2 linked regions of the Tribolium castaneum genome follow. The protein of the gene in region 2 interacts with the protein of the main gene of each other region in a biochemical or structural test. Links are inferred from orthologs where the notes say so. Each region holds a gene or a part of one and is shown on either strand. Other genes may lie near its edges.

The links. The genes of interacting proteins can lie anywhere in the genome.
Region 1: the proteins of exd (region 2) and Cx are reported together in a solved structure, tested with the Drosophila melanogaster proteins (2 studies listed by BioGRID, with this or other methods). The link is inferred for Tribolium castaneum from reciprocal best matches to the Drosophila melanogaster genes exd and Scr.

Annotation. Positions count from the first base shown.
Region 1 is NC_087397.1:6,806,472-6,810,230, reverse strand, and holds the start of Cx (cephalothorax), read left to right. Parts: upstream 1-1,356; 5' UTR 1,357-1,589; coding exon 1,590-2,223; intron 2,224-3,759. UniProt on the Drosophila melanogaster protein: Sequence-specific transcription factor which is part of a developmental regulatory system that provides cells with specific positional identities on the anterior-posterior axis.
Region 2 is NC_087400.1:5,271,174-5,274,535, forward strand, and holds exd (extradenticle), read right to left. Parts: upstream 1,938-3,362; 5' UTR 1,934-1,937; coding exon 848-1,933; 3' UTR 530-847; downstream 1-529. Other genes in the region: pre-mRNA-processing factor 17, read right to left, coding at 3,069-3,246, 3,298-3,362. UniProt on the Drosophila melanogaster protein: Transcription factor which acts with the selector homeodomain proteins altering the regulation of downstream target genes such as wingless (wg), teashirt (tsh) and decapentaplegic (dpp), thus affecting segmental identity.

The sequences.
Region 1 (3,759 bases), on a different chromosome or scaffold from region 2:
AATTTTGGTTTTATTTACATTTTTTACACGTTATTAGATATCTATATGTACTTACATATATAACTTCTTAGGGGTGTCATTCTTTTTGATCGTGACTGTACCTACGTGCAAAAAAAATTGTATGCTAAAGTTATATCACCACACACTACTGTTACCACATCGGTAGGTATAGTCTTACCTCAGTTTTTTGAGATGAAGTTATCAGAAAGCTTAGATTACAAATGACAAATTTAGATCAAAGGGTTGGCATATTTCCATAGGTATAAAAATAATTGGGATTTATTAAAATTGAGAGAATGGTGATAGAAAAATTCCATGCACATATACCTAAGTTGGGTAAAACCAGAAAAACTGAAATTAATTTAATTTTTACGCAACCTAAGTATTTATCTTTCAAAATTTTTACATACTTTTTAACTGTTTAACTTATACTAAGACAGGTGCAATTCGACATAAAGCAACCTACAAGTAGAGTTATTTAAAAATATAGACCTACTAAATCATTTTTTCATCACTAACTCTCCAAGTTAGTTCTACTAAGATTTGTACAATAATTGTTTTTATTGTCTTTATTTTTACAATGAAGCAATATTATTTTTTCGAAGGATTTTGATAAATTTTTATTATAGTTAGGTATAAATCGTAACTTTCAACACTCACTTATTAAAAGCTTTTTGAGGTCAACGTCGCTAATTTGATAAAGTTGTAACTACATAAATGGTAGTAAAAATTAAGTTGTAGCTAGTGCGTGTTGACATAAATAAAATGACTATTTAGTGAAACCAGCTTGATTTGCATTTCATGTGTTTTATTTGGTCGATTACATTCCGGAAAATTTTAGCCAAATAGAGTTGTACGGAACACTTGATAAGAATTGTTTAAATTACTTGAAATATTTATTTTTGCTAGTTGGTTGTTATTTTGCGCTCAATGTGAATGGGAATAAGATTGATGGCTTGGCAAAAACTCGTTATTATTGATCGGATTTGTCACATCAAAGCCATGTCCAAATATTTTTTTTCTAAAGTCCTATTGGAATGGTTGTAAAATCAGGCCTCGTGCCCCTGTGCCGTGTACCTACACTTGACCCTGCGGCACTTCGCTCACCTCCCTAATAAATAAGTCTGAATGATTCATTACGTCCCTGCTACCGGAATCCGTGAACCACACACTGCTCAGCTGAGCGTCAAATCTTAAACAATTCCGAAATTATCAATTTTCAAGTCGTTGTCCCGCCCCTTGCCCCTCCGAGACTCCTCCCCGCGCCTGCGCCAGTGGCGTCTCGCCACGCCGTTCCGTGTGAAATCCCCCCTCGAAACGGCCCATCTCTGTTTATCCCGCACTCGGCTGCGCATCGTCTCGGTCCTTTCGGTGTCCTCCTTCCCGCATGTTCGGCTCGCATCTACTAAACCCAATCAACGTGTGGTATTGGGCAGTCGTGGCGCCGCTACGCAACCGTCTCGACGCGAATGTCCATCACTTACCCATAAACCAGCACGTGATGTGGTCGATGGTACTTGACGCGGTGTCATTCGGTGGTACCTGAAGCAGTGATAGTGCCCTTTCGGACCCAGTGCGTGAATGCCACAATGAGCTCCTACCAGTTCGTCAACTCCTTGGCCCAGTGCTACGGCCAGCAGGCCCGCGACCAGCAGAGCAGTCCCGGGACAGACTATTACAACCCCAACGCGAACTCCACCTACCCCCCAGCATGCTACTCGCCCCCGCAGGTGGCCCCCCAGTACCCGCAGCACCCGTACGCGGCCCCGGCGCCGGGCCACGGCCTGCAGCCCACCATGGGCGACTACACCCAGCTGCAGCCGCAGAGGCTGGCCTCGACCCACCTGCAGAGCCCCAACACCCAGACCCACCCTTCGGCCAGTTGCAAGTACGCCGATTCGACCTCCTCCACAGGAGTCGCCTCCCCGCAAGATCTGAGCACGAACGGAGCTCCTCCAAGGAGTACTCCGCCGCTTTCAACCCCCAGTAACAGCAACGCGACGAAGAGCTCGGGACTGACGTCCCCGCTGTCGGTCAGCACTTCGCCACCAGGCAAACCCGCGACCTCCACGGCATCGCAAAACTTATCCTCGCCGGCTTCTAGCACTAGTTCTACCTCTAGTACCGAAAAAGCCGGCACCAACAACAACAACTCCAAGAGCGGCCAATCGAGCAACCCGCCTCAGATCTACCCCTGGATGAAGAGAGTTCATCTCGGCCAAAGTAAGTGATATGACGTAAATCAAACGTGTCTCCAGTGGGCCATAAATACGATTCTTTTAAATGTTTCAAGAACCACTTGTGGAGCCGCGATTCGTTGCGACTTGATTTAGATGTAAACGCATCTATCCAATTACGAACGAATGAGATAATAACATAGTGGAGAGTCCGCAGGCATGAATATCGCATGAAAAATGCCTTACGCCCCTGCAAAACTTGACACTGCTGCAACGGATACTAATAAAACGAACGAGACCACAACACAAACCCATCTATAATTAACAATGTGTTTTTACTTTTTACAAAGGGTTTTGTGGAACGGTTGCACCAATCTGATTCAAATTCTTAAAAGAAAGGAGCACACACGAGAAATGATACTTAGATCTAGATCCTGCCACAAAAAAAAAACAAAAAAAATGTTCATAACGCAACTAGCGACCTACTAAAACTGTTGACAAAAATCATTAAAATCATATCAAGCTGTTTAAACGATTTGATAATTATTTCTTCTGAAACCGTTGCCCACGATTATCTAAAATTGTATCGTTACATAACGTCCAAGAATGATTAATTATTATTCTAACCTAATCATGATTTATTTTATTCCTATCTGATTAGAAACATAATTGACTTAACACAACTTTTCCAAGAAGAAACTAGAATAGTAAATTTTGAAAGAAAAGTCTTATAAACTTATTCTTATTTTATTCTATCATGTTATCATGCTCTTAATAATTCTCCACTAGTGCTGTTAAAAAACGATTTTTTTATTAGCACATATTCAGTTCTACACAGAAGTACGTCTCTCCAAGATTAGGAGCCAAACTCCGAGATTCCTTTAAAGCAATTTTAACGAAACAATATTTACTTTTCTTTGTTAATAATAATGAAATGTAAATGTAAGTGTAAAATAAACCGTTTCACGATAAACGTTTTTTGCTTTTTACACTCGAAAATCAAAATTTTCTCTTCTAGGTAATATAAAAATATAATAACTTCAGAACATTTGATTGCCCAAAATAGAGCACGGCTGTAGCAAGCTAAACCACAGTAACCGATAATTTTTTAATTAGTTATTTATTTCACGAGTGGATTATTAAACCACGAGTGAAAACCAGTGGATTATTACACCACGAGTGAAAACGAGTAGCTTATTATCCCCGAGATGAAATAAATGAACCGATTTACACGAAAATGAGTTAAATACAACGTTTTATTCTTCTAATTAGACAGAACAACGCTTAAAATTGCTTTAAATTTGTTAAAAAAAATTGTATTAAGAAATGCTAAAGGGTTGTCAAAACTTCCTTACACAGGAGAAAAACCGTAAATTTTGAAAGTGTCGAAGAATAAATGAGTTTTTATACATGTTTTACTATATTTTTATGCTTAGATGCATTTAAATACTCGCTAGCATTTTTTTTGTTTAAATTAATAAAAAAATTGTTTCTTTCTTCATAAACTCCAACTGCAATAGAACATTTTTTCCCTACGTAAAACAACAATATTTTATAATTTAATTATCAGAAAATACATTTA
Region 2 (3,362 bases):
TGGTATAACTGGAAGTGTCACAGCGGCAAATTTAATTGTGGGGTCTGAGCAGAAAAATTTAAAGCCCACACAGATAAAAATACCCATATACCAAAAAGAAAAAAGCTCACGATAAGTTGTGATTTATGTAATAAGTGGGTATTACGTTCCCCCTCTGGTCTCTATACAGGGTGTCCCAACTGAAATTGCACCCCTAGAATCTCGGTTTACAGAGGAACTAAATTTTATCCTAGAAAGTTATTTCTGCATACCTCTTAAATCACCAATCACATTTCTTTAATTTGGTCACGTGTCCAGTTAATCACGCATTTAATTGCGAATTAAATTAACGACGCTTCGTCTAAAAAATCTAAAACTTTTATTGACATCTGAGTAATTATTTTATAAATCTATCCACAATGACAGTGATTGTTTTTTTTTAGTGAGTTAATTTTTATGGGGCTTTTATTCACGTGAGTCTCTCTACGCCCTTTATTTCCATGTAGGATTTTCTGTGATTATTTCATGTATGTTGAAAAAATGATCCACGTGTTACTACAGTTATTTATTTAAATAGTAAGCACTGTAATTTCATTTTCGATGGAAAAACCTCGGCGTTAAAGCAAAGTTCTCTCACCCAGCTGCTCCTTATCGATAAAAATAAGTAAATATACAAAAAATACTGAAGAAAAACTCGCCTTAACTCCTAAAACAATCAACCTAAAAATATATTGCAAGTACGTCCTATACTATCAGAAAAGTAAAACTTGAAGCAATTGAACCCAGAAACACACTGTACACGATACAAAATTCGGTATACATGGGTTAGTATACAACTGTATTTCCTTAAAATTAAGCTAGGGTTTGATTAGGGCGACAGTTCCTGTGCGTGCATTGGGTCGTAACCACAGCTACTGGCGTCATAGGCTGAGCTCTGGTCGTAGGCCGACCCCATGGAGTAGCCCATGGAGTCCTGCGGGGGCGCTGGGGACATCATGGGGGTCGGGGTGCCGCTGTAGGGCGACGCCCCTGCCGCCTTCTTCGCCGCGTACAAATTGGCCTCTTCCTGCGCCTTCCCGATGTTCTTCTTGTACCTGATTCGTTTGTTCCCGAACCAGTTCGACACCTGGCTCACTGTGATCCCGCATTTCCTAGCCAACTCTTCCTTCGCCTCCTCACTGGGGTAGGGATTAGACAAATGCGAGTAAAAATACTCGTTTAGAATTTCCGACGCCTGCTTGCTGAAATTCCGGCGTTTCCTTCTGGCGTCCAAAAACCGCGATCTGAGGATCATAACAGCCTCGCAAGTCGACTGTTTCAGCTGCATCTGAATCGAGGAGAATTTCTTGTGTATGATTTGCACCATCCGCTCGATTTCCTTCGGGGTGATTGGGCGAGTCCGGGACTGCTCCCGCAGCAAGTTCATAACGTGTGTGGTGAACTCATTGCACGCCTGTTCGTACTTTTCCAGTTCTTGGTGGTAGATTTGGCGGATTTGGGCGAGTTTGGCCCTGTAGTCGCTGTGCTCGATGGCGTTGTCGGGCTGGCCGGCCTGGGCGGCGGCGGAGCCCGAGGCGGCGGCCCCCGCGCCGCCGCCCTTCTCGGGGCCCGCCACCCCCTCGGCGATCAGCATGTTGTCGAGCCGCATCAGCTGGGGGTCGGGGGGCTCCTCCTCCTGCGTGTTCCGCAGGCTGAGCACCGTCTTCTCCTTGATTTCGCACAGCACGGAGAACAGGGCCGGCTTCATGCGGTGGCAGTTGAGGGTGTGTTTGCGCGCTTGGGCCTCGTCGAGGCTCTGGTCGGTGATGTTCATGATCTGCTGGAGGATCTCACCGATGTCCTGCTTGCGGGGCTCGTTCTCGCCGCCCGCGGGCGCGTCCTGGGCGTTCATGTACGGCTGAGGGGGCATCAGGCCGCCGCCGGTGTGGCCCATCATTCTGCCGGGGTCGTCCATGGGGGCACGCAAACGGCACTAGGAAATGGACGCGCTTGACAGCATACGTAAACAAAGCGGGAGGATGTTTGCGGGATGGGTAGTAGGGGCGCATGCGCGAAAGCAGGAATTTTATGGATTTTGAGGGGCGGGTGGGGGAGATTTATGGCCTTTGGATGATATTCAAATTTTGGCACGGATTGGAAAAAGTGGTTTACTAAAGCGAGAGTTGTTTATACTTGGATTCATTCACAAACTAGGGAGGACCAGAGAACTAATGATAGAAAAAATCGTTGATTCTCTTGAAATCAGCATCTAACAGTCATTCAACAGCAAAAAATCTGAAGTAAATGACCAAAAGTTGTGTCAATTTTGAGAAAAATATAGAAAATAGAAACGTATGCTGTAAAATCATACTCTAATTACGTTATTTCACAATCTACGTTGTCTTTTAGTCATTACCAAAAAACTATGCCACTCCACCATAAAACAAATTTGCAAAATACCAGCAAAGTCCGGACCTGTGTAACTCAAAACTCGTCTAACGGACTTAATTAGTTATAATACTGAACACCCCGTTTCATCATTTTAAATATATATTTAAAAATTAAAGTCCCATTAAAGTATTTAATTCTCCATTTAAATTATCTAGAAAATTTAGAAATCAACATAGGAACGAACGAAAGTAGCAACTTATTGTCTTTTGAAAGTGAATTTAATGTGTGATTGTTGCAAAGACGAAAAAATACAGTTTGAGAAAAAATTAATTAATTAAAAAAATTAATAATTAAAAGGACGATTTAGAGAACAAAGATTTTTTGAAAAAAAAGCAAATGCTGATGTTAGAAAATTTAATTACTATTAAATAAAATACTAATAATCATTCTTTATTTTTTTCCAATTGCAAAAACATCATTTTTTATCTAATTTTTTTCTAATCTTTTAAATGCTTTAACGGCGGAATTAAAATCTCGCTGTCAAAATTAGACGTAGGCATTTAAAAACGCAAAATGAGTGACGTTTCACCGTAGACATAAGTCAGGTGACCGAAATCGCTTACGTTGATTGGTTATAACGATCACGTGACCATAGCGAAAGGACGTATCTTCTAATTAAAATATTTTATTTCGCTTAAAATTTACACCTTCTTGGAAACTTAATCCCAGTATTTGATAAGTCCATCCCAGCCTGCTGTCACTAACTTGCTCGGCTCGTGCGGATGCCACAGCACACTGATACAGACATTATCGTGCGCTTTCCACTTCTTATACAACTTTGTAGTTTTCCAATCCCAGATGTAGCACTTACCATCGGCGTCACCCGACACTAAATAACTACAAAAAAAATTGTTAAAACCTACAACTGTTAAAAAAATAATAACAAACCTCAAATCTGGTGAAAAATCAAGTGTGCAGGCATACCCAGCCACCATATGTCCCGTAAACGTCTT